2 linked regions of the Sus scrofa genome follow. The protein of the gene in region 1 interacts with the protein of each later gene in a pairwise test. Links are inferred from orthologs where the notes say so. Each region holds a gene or a part of one and is shown on either strand. Other genes may lie near its edges.

Evidence for each region. The genes of interacting proteins can lie anywhere in the genome.
Region 2: the proteins of KAT7 (region 1) and NINL interact in a two-hybrid assay, tested with the Homo sapiens proteins (2 studies listed by BioGRID and IntAct). The two-hybrid records come from large-scale screens. The link is inferred for Sus scrofa from reciprocal best matches to the Homo sapiens genes KAT7 and NINL.

The regions. Positions count from the first base shown.
Region 1 is NC_010454.4:25,967,718-25,975,800, reverse strand, and holds the start of KAT7 (histone acetyltransferase KAT7), read right to left. Parts: upstream 4,645-8,083; 5' UTR 4,036-4,644; coding exon 4,003-4,035; intron 1,514-4,002; coding exon 1,366-1,513; intron 1-1,365. UniProt on the Homo sapiens protein: Catalytic subunit of histone acetyltransferase HBO1 complexes, which specifically mediate acetylation of histone H3 at 'Lys-14' (H3K14ac), thereby regulating various processes, such as gene transcription, protein ubiquitination, immune regulation, stem cell pluripotent and self-renewal maintenance and embryonic development.
Region 2 is NC_010459.5:31,113,561-31,120,976, forward strand, and holds part of NINL (ninein-like protein), read right to left. Parts: intron 6,906-7,416; coding exon 6,718-6,905; intron 6,056-6,717; coding exon 5,903-6,055; intron 4,563-5,902; coding exon 4,395-4,562; intron 2,539-4,394; coding exon 2,402-2,538; intron 716-2,401; coding exon 575-715; intron 1-574. UniProt on the Homo sapiens protein: Involved in the microtubule organization in interphase cells. Overexpression induces the fragmentation of the Golgi, and causes lysosomes to disperse toward the cell periphery; it also interferes with mitotic spindle assembly.

The DNA of each region.
Region 1 (8,083 bases):
CAAATCCAAGCTGCAGCTGGCAGCCTACACCACAGCCACAGCAACGCCAGATCCAAGCCATGTCTTCGACCTACACCGCAGGTCACAGCAATGCCAGATCCTTAACCCACTGAGCGGGGCCAGGGATCAAACCCTTGTCTTCATGGATACTAGTCAGGTTCATTCCACTAAGCCACAACAGGAACTTTGGCATGGCCATTTATACTAAGAGCATTTATGCCCATTCCTTTGCATGTTCTGTACCCTCTGCCTATAATAACACTTTCTTGTCTTTCAACTTGTAAATTCCTCCTAGATCCTTAAAGATTTCCATCTCTAGGCTTCCACAGCACTCTATGCAAACCTCTCTCGCAGCCCTTAGCACAATGCGTTGCCATAAGAGTTGACATCCCACATTACACTGTGAGCTCTTTGAGGGCAGGAACTCCGATTTTTCTATCACAGTATCCCACTATGTTGCATAATACCTGAATTATAGCAACCGTTTATCAATATTCCCATTATGCCCCAAAATACAAACGTAGAAGTTGAGAAATCAAGAGACAATTATCTATACTTCAGCTGAAATATTAAATTCAAAGATAAAGTTAGGAATAACCACAGAGAGAATGTTCCCACTTTCTTGCTTGAAAAAACAGATGTTTCTCCCTCAGTCTGCAACACACTCATATAGCAGCAAAAAAAAAATCAGCACTTTTAAGTGCTCGGAGTATACTTCTCCCGCTTAATTTATCATCACCTATTGACCATCAGCTTTCTGTATTACTCACAACTTTCTTTCTTTGCCAGCGAATCTCAGAGCAGAGCCAAGACAGTGGGTACCCTCCAAATCTAAGACCAGATGGCTAACTGTACTAGAGAACCTTCCAACACCGAGATTCTCTATTCTTTACTACCATAGCAAAATTCTGGGTACTATTATAGTTGATAGTTGGGTCATCTGTATTGATTGTGCACCTGACTATAGTACAAAATTAAACATGGTTTTAAAGGTCTTAGGCCTCCTCCAATAGCACATTCGAGACACCACTTTATCAAGTTCCTAGGCCATTCTAACAAAAAGTGAAAAGATACCATTCTCATTTTATAGGGAAACTGTAATCCATAAAAAATTAAAAGACTCAAGACATACAGGTGTCACAAATGTACCATACCAGAGATAGTTCTTCCGGGTCTACAATTGGACAGGACCCCCAACAGAACCATCCTTAAGGACCTGACACTTTAGCAGTCATTTGCTCTGCACTGTACCAGATTCTGTCATCAGCATCACGTCAAGGGACCAGTTTCCACATGAACTAGCACAGTAACATGATGACCAGTGAGCTGTGAGGTGTGATCAGGAAGAAGGAAGCGGCCTTTTACCTTGGGAACTCTGGCTTAGCCGGGCTGAGGAGCGGGTGACTCGGGCAGATCGCCGGGAAGTGCCATCACTCTCTGAACTGTCTGTGTGCTCGAGATCTGTAGAAAAATCGGAATCTTCGGTTCCATCTGAACTACTGCCTGCATTCCTCTGTAACACCATAGATCCAGACATTAGCACAGAAACATTAACTCCGTGGGTGTGAAATAACACTGGAAATAAAACAAACTGTGATGCTGAAAACACCAAGCTCAAATCTAAGAAAGGACTCCACAGCCAATTTCCCTTCATTTAGAGCATTTAAATGGAACAACCTACGAATAGTGCATCTTTATTAAATAAATAAAGAGAATTAATTCTTACTGTATCATCATTAGTTCTGAAACAAATTGATTTGGAAACTGGAAAATACAGAACTCAAAATAGTCTGGCTGACATAACAATGCACTTATACAAAGTCCAGGGTAAAGAGAAAAATGTTAGTGACAGCCTCACTTAATTCTGGAGTAGCTTTTGCTCAAAGTCTACATAAACAGCTATTACATTTTTAAAAACCACACACTGGAATTCCCACCGTGGCTCAGCGGAAACGAATCCGACTAGGAACCATGAGGTTGTAGGTTTGATCCCTGGCCTCGCTCAGTGCGTTAAAGATCCGGTGTTGCCATGTGCTGTGGTGTAGGTTGCAGATGTGGCTCGGATCCTGCATTGCTGTGGCTGTGGTGCAGGCTGGCAGCTGTAGCTCTGATTAGACCCCTAGCCTGGGAACCTCCATATGCTGCAGGTATGGCCCTTAAAAGCAAAAAAAAAAAAAAACCAAAAAATAAAAAAATAAAATGAATTAAAAACCACACACTGATTCAAAATATCATGGTCTATAACTCTGATCTCAAACTTAGGGAGAAAAATAGTAATTCTTCTTACTTATGTCATCTCCCTTTGAAGTTTCTCCACATGTACCCCAAAAGTGCTTTTAAAAAGGGGGGAGGGAGTGGTTTGCAAACGAAGACACATGGGTATGCAAAAACAGAAGGTTTTTTAAAATCACCTTTACAGTTAATATTATTTGTCAATTATCAGCCTCCAGAGACACAATTAACCATAAAGATAACTTTTATCAATTAAGCATTAAACACTTGTTTGAAAAAACAGAAGTTTTTCTCCCATTTTGCAGCATGCTCATACAGCAGTAACCAAATTGGCACAATTTAAGTGCTCAAAGTATGTTACATTTTCTCCCTCAACTTATTATCACCTATTGATCATCAGCTTTCTGTATTAAATTCCAACTTTCTTTCCTTCCCAGGGAATCCTAGAGCAAAGCCAGAAGGGTTGGGGTACCCTCCTATGCTAACACCATACCCTTTATTAAACCATAAAGAGGAGTTCCCACTGTGGTGCAGAGGAAACGAATCCGACTAGGAACCATGAGGTTGCAGGTTAAGGATCTGGCATTGCTGTGAGTTGTGGTGTAGCTCTCAGATGTGGCTCAGAACCTGCGTTGCTGTGGCTGTGGCGTAGGCCAGCAGGTGTAGCTCTGATTTGATGCCTAGCCTGGGAACCTCTGTATGCCACAGATGCACCCCTAAAAAAAAAAGCAAAAAAAATTTTAAACCATAAAGAGAGATGCATTTGCTTAAAAAAAACATACAAGAAGCAAAAACAAACAAAAAGCCCCCTTAGGATCAGATGTGTTTAGAATTCATAATTTTTTAGAAAGGAATAGTCTGCATACATCCTGCAAATAACACCCTTTCTGCAGCAAAATATATGTACAATCACACTAAATGAGACACAAAAACTGTAAATAGCCTCAGAACAGTTTAGAACAGGTTCTGCCAAGAAATAAGTTACTAAAAAACACACATTTTCAAGAACTCTTTGTACTTGGGGATTGCAAAAAGGAGACTGTGGGCCTATTCCAAGACACCAGTACTATTTGGTGAGCCTTAACATAAATACCACCTATCAATGTAGGTCATTTTGGAGACATTAAAAAATGTAAATATTTGAAAGCCTCTGTGAAGAGAAAGATTTCTGCAGAAATGAGCAAGACCACCACCCAGCGTTCCAAATATTTCAAGGATAATCTGCCAGGAAATGAGTGGAGGATCCACAGAGAATCACCAAAAATTAAGATGAAAGGGGAGTCTTAAAGGTCATCCAATCCAATTACCCAGCTATTTGAATCCCTAATCATCTCTGCCCATCCCTTCCTGGCATGACCCTGGAGCTCAGCTCTCCTCTACTGCTTTCACCAACTACTTCCCATCTTACTCCAGAGCAGATTAAATTGCTCCACTTCCCTCCCATTAATCTTTATTACTGCCAAGTAGAGAATTTACTAAACCCTTCTACAGTTATTTAAATGTCTGTTTTCCTCTCAGACTCTGATTCCTTAAGCCAGTGATCATGTCTAATTAATTTTCGAGTCCTCGGCAACCAGCACATAGCGAAGAGTCAATAAACGTTTGTTGAACTGAATTAGATTTGTCCTGTAGTCCAGGCTCTGTCATTGCCTAATTGAGTGGCTTGGGGCACTCCCTTAAGCCTCTGCTTAGCTGAGAAAAGGGATGGGGGTGTCCCTAGATGACATCGTCAAGTCCCATTTAATTCTAGGAAGTTTCCGATTTACGAACTTCATTTTCTAGGCGCTGTCCAACTAAGCACATAAGGGAAAACCGCAGCTTAGGTGCAACAGGCCTGGAAGGGATCCCTCGGGAGTGGGCGCTGCTTCTCTACCACCCAGTCCTCTGCTTTGTTGTGTCCTCCGCGGGGAAAGGAAGGATACTCCCCAAACCCCGCCTCTCCTCCTATGAGCATCACCATACGGATGGGAGGGGACTCGTGCCACCCAATCGCGGTCCCGCTAAACCGCGCCCCCACAGGACAGACTGCCAAGCCCCGCCAATCAAGAGAAGAGGGATCGTTCTCTACATCCAGTCGGAGAGCGGTAGAGCCGGGCCTAGACACCGCCCCCACACGCGGGGAGGTGACCGTTGGGCCCAAATGGGCGGTGTCGCCAGCCAATCAACATGCTTCTAGACGTTTCAGCGACCAATTGCCGAGAAGAACGCCTCCGAGCCAGGCAAGCAGAGGGCGGGAATAGGTGCAAGCATAGGCCGAGGCCACAGTCGGGCCCACATTTTTCTGTTGGGTATGGACAGAAGCGAGGGTTGCTGAGCTAGGTTCAGGGAAGCGGGAAGTTGGAACCCAACCACTGTGAGGCGTGGCCAACTGCGTCACTCTTCTCAATCGACTGCCCTTTAGAAACCCGCCATCCCTCCTGTCCCGTTCCTCTCACCTTCCTTCGCGGCATTGCCGGCGGCTGCGGCCCGACGGTTCCGATTCGGGCAGCGGCGGCAGCAGCAGTGGGAACGGTGGCTCCGGCGGGCTCCGTGGCGGCCTCTGTAGCAGTCCCAATCCTGCGGACGATCCCAAGTGCCTCCTGCTTCACAGCGTCTAGACCTTTCTGCGCAGGCGCCGCGGGCTGAGGCGCTTTTTCCTCCACTTCCGGCTGAGGCTTGCGTCACCTGACGTTAGGGCCAGAGAGGATTCTGGGAGGTTTCCCCCTCCGGTGAGGCTAGCGGGAGCCATTTTGGAATTGGGCAGAAAGTGGCAGCGACAGTGGAAACTGGGGCCCGCCATTTTTAGTTAGGGGAATGGCATCCTCTGTAGGCGTGGGTAGCCATTCCTGTTTGGGGCAGAAGCCTGACAGTTGAAGTTAACAGTTCTCATCTTTACAATGGGCAAAATTTCCCTTCCCTTTGGTTTTAATTTCTGAAGTCGAGGAAAGAAAGCCCCAGAATCCATCAGGTTGCTGAGGTTTAACCCCTTAGTCGCCGAATTGGCTAAAGGACGTTTCCCTTTATCACATAAACTCAAAATTGGGAAGGGCTATTTTGCACAAGAAACTATTTTAAGAGCCATTCGGTGTCTCACAGTGCTGGGAATGGGGGCTTGTGAAAGGACAGAAAGAAGGTAGCGTCCTTCATGAAGAAGTTTCTTGTCTGGTAGAGGAGACATTGTCCTTGCCTTTAGCGAACCGCAAGTATGTTGATCCGTTCACTCGCGAAAGGAGACACAACCATTCTCCAGAAACTGTTGCTCCAAAGAATTACCAGTTTAGCTCTGTGGTGAGCACACCCACTTCGTCCCCTCATCCTGTATGGGTTTGAGAGCCTTGGGTGGCCCTCGGGATGAGTGTGTGTGTGTGTGTGTGCGCGCGTGCGCGGTACCAGAGTTGGAAAAGCATTGAACCCCATTAGCCCAAGTGACCTCTCGAAATCCAGACGCTTGAGTCAGGAGTTGGAGGAAGAGGAAGGAATATTTTTAGTAAAGCTGGAGCTCAGAAAGGCATTGATGTTAGCTGCCTAGAAAGGAGAAGTTGGTGGAAGATGTAAGGTTGGCAGAAGAGCGGTAAGAAAAGGCTGAGAAGTGAACAGCAAGCGTTGAGGATTTAACCTCGCTGGGAGAAAAGCCTTGTGTGGAGTAAAGCTTTGCCCAGAGACTGGGAGGAAAAAAAAAAAAAAAAAATCCAAGAGTCATTAAGTTAGGATCCTGGAGCCCGTTTCACCTGAGGCTAGCTAAGATGGAGATTTCCCCCTGGAGCTGAACTAAAGAACAAAGCAGCAGAAGGTAAACATCTGATTGTTGTGCTAAGCAGAGGACTCAGAAGGATTAGAGTTCCAGACCCTTATTTAGCACTCTCCTTGGGTGTATCCTGGGCTGGTAATAACACAGGCAGCTGTTAGTATTTAGGTTTTAATGTTTACCATAAACACCTTTAAATGGCCTACTTAGGTTGAACTGCACAAAAGAACTTATTTAATTTCACACTATTACTGTTATTTTGCACCTACTCGGGTGTTCCCAAGGTTACTCTTGGGTGTTCTGGCTCCCCAACTACTGGTAAAGAGCACTTATGTTAAGACCATATCTCGGGAGTTCCCGTTGTGGCCCAGTGGTAACAAACCCGACTGGTATCCATGAGGATGTGGGTTCCATCCCTGGCCTCAGTGGGTTAAGTATCTGGCATGGCCATGAGTTGTGGTGTAGGTCCCAGATGTGGAACTTCCATGTTCAAACTTCCATATGCTGTGCGTGCGGCCCTAAAAATAAAGTAAAACGAAACAACAACAAAAAAAGCGTATCTCTCTTCTTTTATACCATCCTTAATGGCAGCCAGACTGTGCTCTACCCATAGTAAATTCTTGTTCCTCAATCAAAATATGTTTACTGTTTCACACTGTCAGAATGTCTAGCCCTCAAAGATGGTGAAGTATCCCTCCCTGGGAATTAGCATATGAGAATAAAATCTTATCCTGACTTAGCCATTCATCATACAAATACCAACATTACAAATGTTCCACATTAATCCCTCGCACTGCATTTTCAAACACTGCAGCTAACACCGAAAGAGTTTACAGTTTCATTGAGACATGCCTTGTCCTTGAAGAGCATACCCTCCAGCAGAAATTAGCTCGTGATGCACGAACTGCTGGTTTAAAGCCTTTGACCGGGCCCCTGACAATCCTCATCCGCCAGACTTTGCAAAAGTGGTCCTACTATTCTCCCTGTCTTTGCGCTCTCACACAGGCTTTTCTTCCTGCCTTGATGCATCTCCCGACCATCTTTAAAATTTGCTTTCTTCAGAAGGTCTCTCCTGATGTATTCTTTCTAAGGTAGTAGGGCACAGTGATATGTTAGTTTGTACTTACTGATTTATATATACTTTACAGTTTGGTAGGTGTTCTGTTTCACTCCTCCCGAAACAAGTAATAGGAACATAACTCCTATTTATTTTATTCATCAGCTGTTCTCGTGTCCAGTACTGGGCTCTGATGTCAGATCTGGATTTGAATTTCAGTCCTGCTACTTTGTCTGCTTTGCTCTTGGACAAGTTTTAAAAGGTATTGGTGCCTCAGATTTCTCAGCTGTGAGGTCAAGATACCAATAGCCATGTCACAGGGCTGTTATAAGGATTAAAGGAAATGATTGTTGTAAAGCGCTTAGCACAGTCCCTGACAGAATAAGCGCTCAATAAATAGCCATTATTACTGATCATTATAATTTCAGTCACCCTAGTCATGGCTGGACTATCCTAATGATTGTGAAAAATAACTTTCCATAGTCTTAGTGGTTGTTTGTTTTTGTCTATTGAGACTCGCTTCAGTGCAGGAGGCTCCGAATGTTACCGAGGCATTATGTATTATATATTATATATTGAGTTAAAGCATTAAAACACTGTGTTTCGGGAGTTTCAGTCGTAACTCAGTGGTTAGCGAATCTGACTAGGAACCATGAGGTTGCAGGTTCGATCCCTGGCCTCGCTCAGTGGGTTAAGGATCCAGCGTTGCCGTGAGCTGTGATGTAGGTGGCAGATGCAGCTCGGATCCTGAGTTGCTGGTGGCTCTGGCGTAGGCCTGTGGCTACAGCTCCGATTGGACCCCTAGCCTGGGAACCTCCATATGCCGCTGGAGCGGCCCAAGAAATGGCAAAAAGACAAAAACCAACCAAACAAACAAACAAAAAAAACCCAACATTGTGTTTCCCCAGGCCAGGAAGCTTGTCGTTCCAGAGCACGACAGAGTATTAATGGAACAGCAGAAAGATAAGCAAAGTTCAGAAGTGGTACAGAGAAGGACACTGAGGGTTTGGAAAAGGATTCATACAGAGATGAAGTAAGAGTGGAACTTCACAGGACGATTAAGTTTGCCA
Region 2 (7,416 bases), on another chromosome or scaffold:
CAGAGCCCACACATGTGCACTGTGTGTGTGTGTGTGTGTGTGTGTGTGTGTGATAGCACCCTCAGTCACAGGGGAGGGCACAGGTCAGGCAGCGACACCCACAAACTGCTGTGAGTCTCCTTACTGAGCAAACACCTGCCCCCCTCCAACTGTCCGGAAACAGAGATCTCCCTTCTACAGGGGCTGGACGTTCTCAAGTGTTTTGGCCAATTAACCAGAGGTGGTTTTGTGTCCCTGAAAAAAGGATCAGAACTCCTTTCCTCTAGTCTGTCCATCACAAGCCCGACCAACTCACAGAGGTCTGCTCAGCTCGCCGCTGAGGACAGGCTGCAAAGCTGTTCCCCGGTCCACCCGTCTCACTGATCACAGTCACATGCAGAGGACTCAGACCTGAGAGATGAGCAGAGCAAGGCCAGTAGAGGACACTTTCCCTGCAGACGCTCATCACAGGCATACACCCAGAGGCCTCTCTTCCTAAACGCACCCTCTTCCCTCAAGGAAGGACATCAGCCAGGCGCTCCCTCTAGACTGCTACTGGCTCTGGTGAGACTGGAGGCCCTCCACTGGGACCCACCTGATCTTCTCCTCCGTGAGCTGCTCCAAGGTGCAGTGGCAGTCATCCATCTCCTTCACAAACTCCAGGTTCCTCTGCTCAGCCTTCTCCAGGTCCTGCCTGGCCTTGTCTCGCTCCCTGGCCAGCTGCTCCACCTTTCCCCTACAGGATGGAGGTGGGTCAGAGGGGACCCTGCTCTGGGCCCATGAACCTGTCTACAGGAATAAATACAGCTGGCCTGACAGGTGCTGAGCAGCAGCCAGTGCTGGGCTCTAACCAACCTCCGTCCAGAGCGGATTCTACAGTTTCTGTGCCTCTTCTACAGAGGCACATGCAGAGGGAGAGGCCAACTACCTCGCAAAGCGGTTTCTAGCAGGTTTATGAAGCAGCTTAGAGCATGCAGCACACCATGCCTCTGCACAGCCTCAGGACAGGCAAGAATTTATCTGTGCCCCCTCTTGCCTGCAGCAGGGCTCCCAACCCTGAGAATCCCCAGCACCTAACCTGGGACTGGACGCAGGAAGGGGAGAAGGCAGGCTAGCCGTTATCCCACCTGGTCTCAGCCCTGCCACCTGTAGCTGAGCATTCAAGTGTGTATGCAAGGGGTCACCCAGGGAAGGAGATTCCTATGCATGGCCCTGTCTATTTGGTCACCCAAGGCCCTCCCAGAGGCTCTGTGCAAACCACCTCCTGCACTAGCTATTCTTTTTTTTGGAAGTTCCTGGGCCAGGGACTGAATCTGAGCCCCAGCTGTGACCTATGCCTCAGTTGCAGCAACACCAGATCCTTAACCCACAGTGCTGGGCCAGGGATCAAACCTGTGCTGCTGTAGCAACCCAGGCCACTGCAGTCAGATTCTTAACCCACTGCGCTATAGCAGGAACCCCCTGCACCGGCTATTCTGGTAGCTATTTCTCCCACTAAAGAAGCATTGAGCTTTTTTTTTTCCCTCCCCTCCCAAAGCACAGTCTTTCTTTCTTCTCTGGTCCTGTGTGCAGAGCTGCCTGATGTCAGAAGGCTCATCTGTCAGACCTAATGAAATACAGTCTTGAGGATGGAGACTGTGATTCCTGCCAACCTTTTCTGTAGCCTCAGAACATCAATAAAAACACAAAAACAACCTTTATGCCAATCTGCTGAGTAGACGGAGGGCCTGAAATGTCAGCTCGACTAGAGCCAAGCCCAATTAAAATGTTCTTGGCCCAACATCACGCTGTGCTTTGTGACCATGTTGGAAGCATCCTTCCTCCTCCCACCAGCCTGGGAAGCCCTGGAAGCACCTCCCAGCCAAGTGGAGGCTGTGCCCACAGGCGGGGAGCCCCAGGTCAGCAGGATGAGTTTCAAGTTCACACAAGGGATAGAAAAACAACGAGGACCTTCTGCATAGCACAGGGGACCATGGTCAACATCCTGTGACAACCACAACGGAAGAGAATCTGGAAAGGAAAGTCTGTATACCCGAATCACTTTGCTGTACAGCAGAAACGAATAGAACATCGCAAACCAACTACACATCAATAAAAGAAACAATAAGATGTTTAAACCCTTCCCCTTGGAACTCTGTGAAAGGGGCTGAGTGGCTTTCCAAGCTTTTCACCAAGTGTGAGGGCTGGCTGGTGACCCTCAAGTTCTGTGGCCATAAAGCCCAAGCAGCAGCCACTGAATGGACACAGCTGGGAGCACACACACGGACACACACAGACACACGTGGCATTGGGAGCCCTCAGCAGCTCCCAGGGGCCAGCTGTCTCCCTGCCACCTGATCCAGGACTCGCCATTTGGGGTGGCCAGGGGTGGGCAGAGAGCCAGCCTGGCAACAGCACCCTGCATCCCACATGGGACTCTTACTGGCAGAAGCTCAGCTCCTGGCGGTAACAGGCCAAGGCTGCCTGCTGGGCGGCACCGTCCACTGTCAGAAGCTCGTTCTCAAGGGCCCAGGTCAGCTCCAAAAGGTTCACCTTCTCATCCACACTGAAGTCCAGGCTCTGTAACAGCAAGGCCATTGGCCAGGCAGGATGAGTGGGTCTCTAGATGCTTCCTGGCTCCCTAAGGACAGGAAGGCTCAGACCACACGGTCCCAGCACCTACCTTCTTCAATCTGCAAAGTCTCTGTCTCTTGGGCACAGCCCTGGCCCTACCCCTGTCAACAGGGGGGCCCCTTGCACTGTCCCTGCCTCAGGGGTGGGCATGACTCAGGCTGGATAGTATCCTCCTCCTTGGACAAAATGACAGATACATAGGGGGCATGTCCTAAGCAGAGGACACTGGGGACTGACAGAGAGGCTAGAGAGGGCCTCTTCCCTGTGAAATCAGTTGTTGTACAGCCCACGTGGCCATGGGGAGGCGGCCGCATAAGGGGCTTGAGGCCAAGGCCACCAGGAGGCCAGCAGAGTCCTGATAGCACGCGGAACGGCCCTCCCCCCGAATGACCACACAGGTGGCCCCCAACGTCCTCCTCTCCTCAAGCCAGTTTGAGTCGAGCTTTTGCTCTTTCGGACCCAAAGAACACTGACTAATCCATGTCTTAACCATGTGGACAGATGTGGGACTAGGCGAGGGTCCTGCTGGTGGAAACAGGATTTCTCAGAGACGAGCAGCCTAGAGAGTGACCCTCGCTCCAAGTGGGGCAGAAAAGGGAAAAGAATAGAAGAGACTTGTTTTATGCGTTTTCCCACAATAAGGAACAGGACAGGAACGTCTGTCCCGCTGGTAGCACAGAAACATGAACCATGTCTGCTCTTCCAGGGCCGGACGCTGATGGCTACGCATCCTGGACACACAGAGGTGCCGAAGGGGTTTAGGTAGAGCTCTGAGTGCTGTGTTGAGGGCGTCAGGGCTCTGCACAGAAGGCACAGGGTGGGGGGCTCCCCAGGCACCCAGGGGTCCCAAGAAGCCAGGTGTGCTGCCAGCATATCCAGGCTAAGGGCCCACCTAGCGGGCTCCCTCCCCAAGGGAAAGGCCTTTGCAGGCAGTCCCAGCAGGCATGGACCTGCTGTGTCAGGACACCCTGACCACTTGCCAGCGCCCGGGAGCCACCCTGTATCGGGAGAGACACCTGGGAGGCTCTGAGGGGTACGGTACATAAGGTCACAGGCTTGGTGGTCCCTGCTTGGTGCTGGGGTGCTCAGGGGAGTAACATCACTGCCTCTCAATTAAATGGAATCAAACCCTGAGCAATTGGAAAGTTATGTTGCTAAAGCGATGGGAATATTCTCTGACAGCAGGGGTGAGTCCTGAAGGGTCAGGGGCAAGGGAGAGACTCAAGGCAGGTCAGACCCTGATGCAGCCAACCTCCAATGCAGGGGATTAGAGCAGCATCTCGAAACCATGAGCCCCTCTCGCTTTGCCCTTCCTGGGGGCCCGTTTCAGTGACCTGGGCTCAGCCTCTGGTTGGGAAGGACGTGACTGACACAGGCCTCCTCGTACACAACCCGGGGAGGGAGGTCGGGGGCCACTGGGGAGAGCACAGCTCAGCTGGTGGGGCGGGTGCCCCAGGCGGGGTCTGGGTCACCACAGAGCTCATCCTGGGTAAGTGGAAATGCTCAGACCCAGGGAGTCATAGGGACACCCTTCCCTCCTCCAGGTCAGCAGATGGGCTCCGGGGGCTGAGTGTCTAAGACACCAAAACCTTCCTTCAAAGTGATTTGTTTCAGGCTATGGTTTTCTCTGCCATTTATTAGGTTTTTAGGTTAAGATCTAAATTTCAACATCAGAAAATTAAACAGTGATTATGATTGGCCTTCCCTACAAAGGGCCTGTGTCCACGAGGTGCTGTGTCCAGCCTCCCCTGTGCATGTGCCAGGGCACCTCTTTGGGGCAGCCTGCGGGATCCAGTCCAAACCTGTAAGACCTCTCTGCCATTGTGAACCCCCTCCTGCGCCCACAGGGCGATGATCTGCTCCGGGAAGGCGAAGCCGGTACCATCGTCCACGCTGCAGAAGAGGCGCGGGCCGGAGCACACGGACACGAGGGACGAGGTCGTGGTCTGGCCACCGCCCTCTTCAGAGACCTGCATGTGGGGACAAAGGCCTCATGTCAACCCCTTCCCAGCCTCACCACCTGTGCTTGGCTGGCGCATTCACACCAAGGCCTGAGCATAGCCCTGTTTCCTGCTCCAGGGACTAAAGGTGCTGAGGTGTGTTTGTGAAGCTGTGCAGGGGATGCCCCCAAGGTAATTTTTCCCCAAACCAGGAGTGGTCTCCCCGTGGCCTCGCAGAGGTGGAGGGAAACCCAATCTGTCCAAAGAAACCCAAGACAAGCTTCAGAAGAAGAGGCGAGATGGCCCGAGAAGTGGATTCAAGATAGGCCACTGTGGCTGAGTGGCCAGGAGCTTAAAGACAAGGGCAAAAACCCCTGGGCCCAGAGGGTGAACACTGAGTCTGCAGTGCTGCAAGAACCCACAAGGATCCCCTCCTGGCTGTGTTTCCTGCCCCAGCAAGGGCTGGACCCTTCAGACACACACTTGCTGTCGGGCCAGAACAAGGGGAGCCCCCTCTTCTCTGCAGCAGAGCCCCCCCGCACCAGGCCCACTGCTCCCAACTGAGCAGAAGACTCTTCATCTCAGCCCACATGTGAGGTACACCTGCTCCCACCATGTCATCACCTCCCAGGCAGGCATCAGCATCTACCTGGGAGGTGCTGACTCTGGGCACAAGTGTACATGGTCCCTGCTTCCAGGTGGCCTGACGCCAGCCCTCATCACTCTTGGTCCCTGTCCCCCACCCACCTCAGGCTTCAGATGCAGAAACCTGATTGAGTCTTGGTCATGCCAGCCCAACAGAGAACAGTGTCATCACCGCCACACGGCCACCCACAAACTCAGGATCACCAACGAGGCTCCCCAGGGCAGCAAGGCCCTGTGGTGATGGTGGGGGTGGGGTGGGGTCTGACTCTCCTGGGATTGAGAAAAACCAGATGCACCAAACAAAATCACAATGTAAATAACCACCTAAATCCTGTTCTCTTCTGGCTGGCATCGCAAAGGATAATATGTGGGAATTGGGGAAGGCACAGACCACCCATCAGTGACTGCCTGGTTGCACCACTGGGGAAGAGGGGGCGGTGGTCTTGCTGGAATGTAGCATACCCCGTCCTGGGTGCATCAGGGGGCTGCCGGGGAACCCTAAGACCCTTCATGAGGCCAGCGATGTGCAGTTAGGCAGCAGCAATGCCAGATCAGCCCACGATGTCCACCTCCCACCGCCAAGATGTGTGCACACGCCACCCCCACCCCCCCAACTTTTGGGCACCTGCCGTAGTGACCAGGCTGAGGAGCCAGGCCTACAAAATGCTGAGCCAGAGAGCAACAGTACTCACTCCAGGGTTTGAGAGTTAACTCTCTGATTTTACCTGGTAATGAGACCAGGACCCGTTCGGTTTGACAAGAATAGAAGATTCTAGAAGTTGAGGGGGCCCGTGATTGAACAGGCCAAGCTGGAATTCCTCCAGACTCACTCTGCCGTCCCCATCTCGGTCCAGCTTGTTGAACAAGTCTTCAAGTTCCTAAATAAAAGCCCACAGGCACCTGCTCAGAGGCTCCCCCACAGCAGCTGCCCCCCTCCCACAGCCCAATAAGCATGTGCTATCCTGTCCACACACTGTCCGAGTCTCCCTGGTCTCCTTGCTCTGGCCTGAGAAATCCAGACGCCTGGTCAGTCTCCATCCTGCTGTCAATGAGCACCTGAGCCTCCCGATTCCACAATCACCCAGTCCATGTCCACTGTGCAGGAGCTTGGATAGCGGGACATGTGTGCATGGAACGCGGCCTGGGCCCCCAGAGTCTTAGGCTCAGCTAGGGCAGGGCTGAGAGCATTTCAGCTCGGTGGGGCCCCCCTCCCCTAGGCCCTGCAGGAGGAAAGGGGTGAACACAGCTGCCAGGTAGCATAGCCAGACTGCGGGCACCACATGTGGGCTGGGCAGTAGACCCAGGCCCCGCAGGAGGGAAAGGAGTGCTCCAGGCAGAGGAAGAATCCTGCATGCAGGTGGCCAGGGCCACGTGTGGCCCAAGATGGGCCTCTGGTACAAGTCCTGGGAGTAATCACAGACTTTAGACCAGAAAGGGACAACTGAATCAGCATCTGAGGGTTAAGGGATTTCCAGGCCCACCACCAACTGTGACCACCACAAAAACCTGGCCCTTCAGGGCAGTCAGTCCACCCCCTCACCTCCTTCTGCAGTCCACGGAGCCCGACGCTCTGGCAGACCAGAGCCAGCTCCTGCTCGGTGAGGTGGCCACTACTGCCAACACCCAGCTCTTCCCAGATGTCCCGGACCCGGCTTTCAGGGGTATCAGAGGAGGGGCTGCAGGGCTTCCGGGGGTTCCCGAAGACCTCACTCCAGGCTGGCAGCTGACCTGAAGCAAGGGAAACACACCACTCTGATCAGAGGGACTGATGGGAGGGCAGAGGGACACACGGGAGATTTGAGTTTCAAAGGCAGATTCTAGGTGGTGGGTACATGGTGCTCATAATTCTTCCAACTCTTCCTACACAAATTGTCACAATAAAATGGGGGGAATGTCTGCTGTGCGTGGGGAAGGCATTTTCCAAAGGGAGCCTTCAAGGACACAGCACTGAAGCACATCTGCAATATTTGTACTTGCAATAAAAAGGCCAGTTTTTTGTTTTGTTTTTTTTATCTTTTTTGCCATTTCTTGGGCTGCTCTTGCGGCATATGGAGGTTCCCAGGCAAGGGGTTTAATCAGAGCTGTAGCCGCAGGCCTACACCAGAGCCACAGCAATGTGGGATCCGAGCCGCATCTGCGACCTACACCACAGCTCACGGCAACGCCAGATCTTTAACCCCCTAAGCAAGGCCAGGGATCGAACCCTCAACCTCATGGTTCCCAGTTGGATTTGTTAACC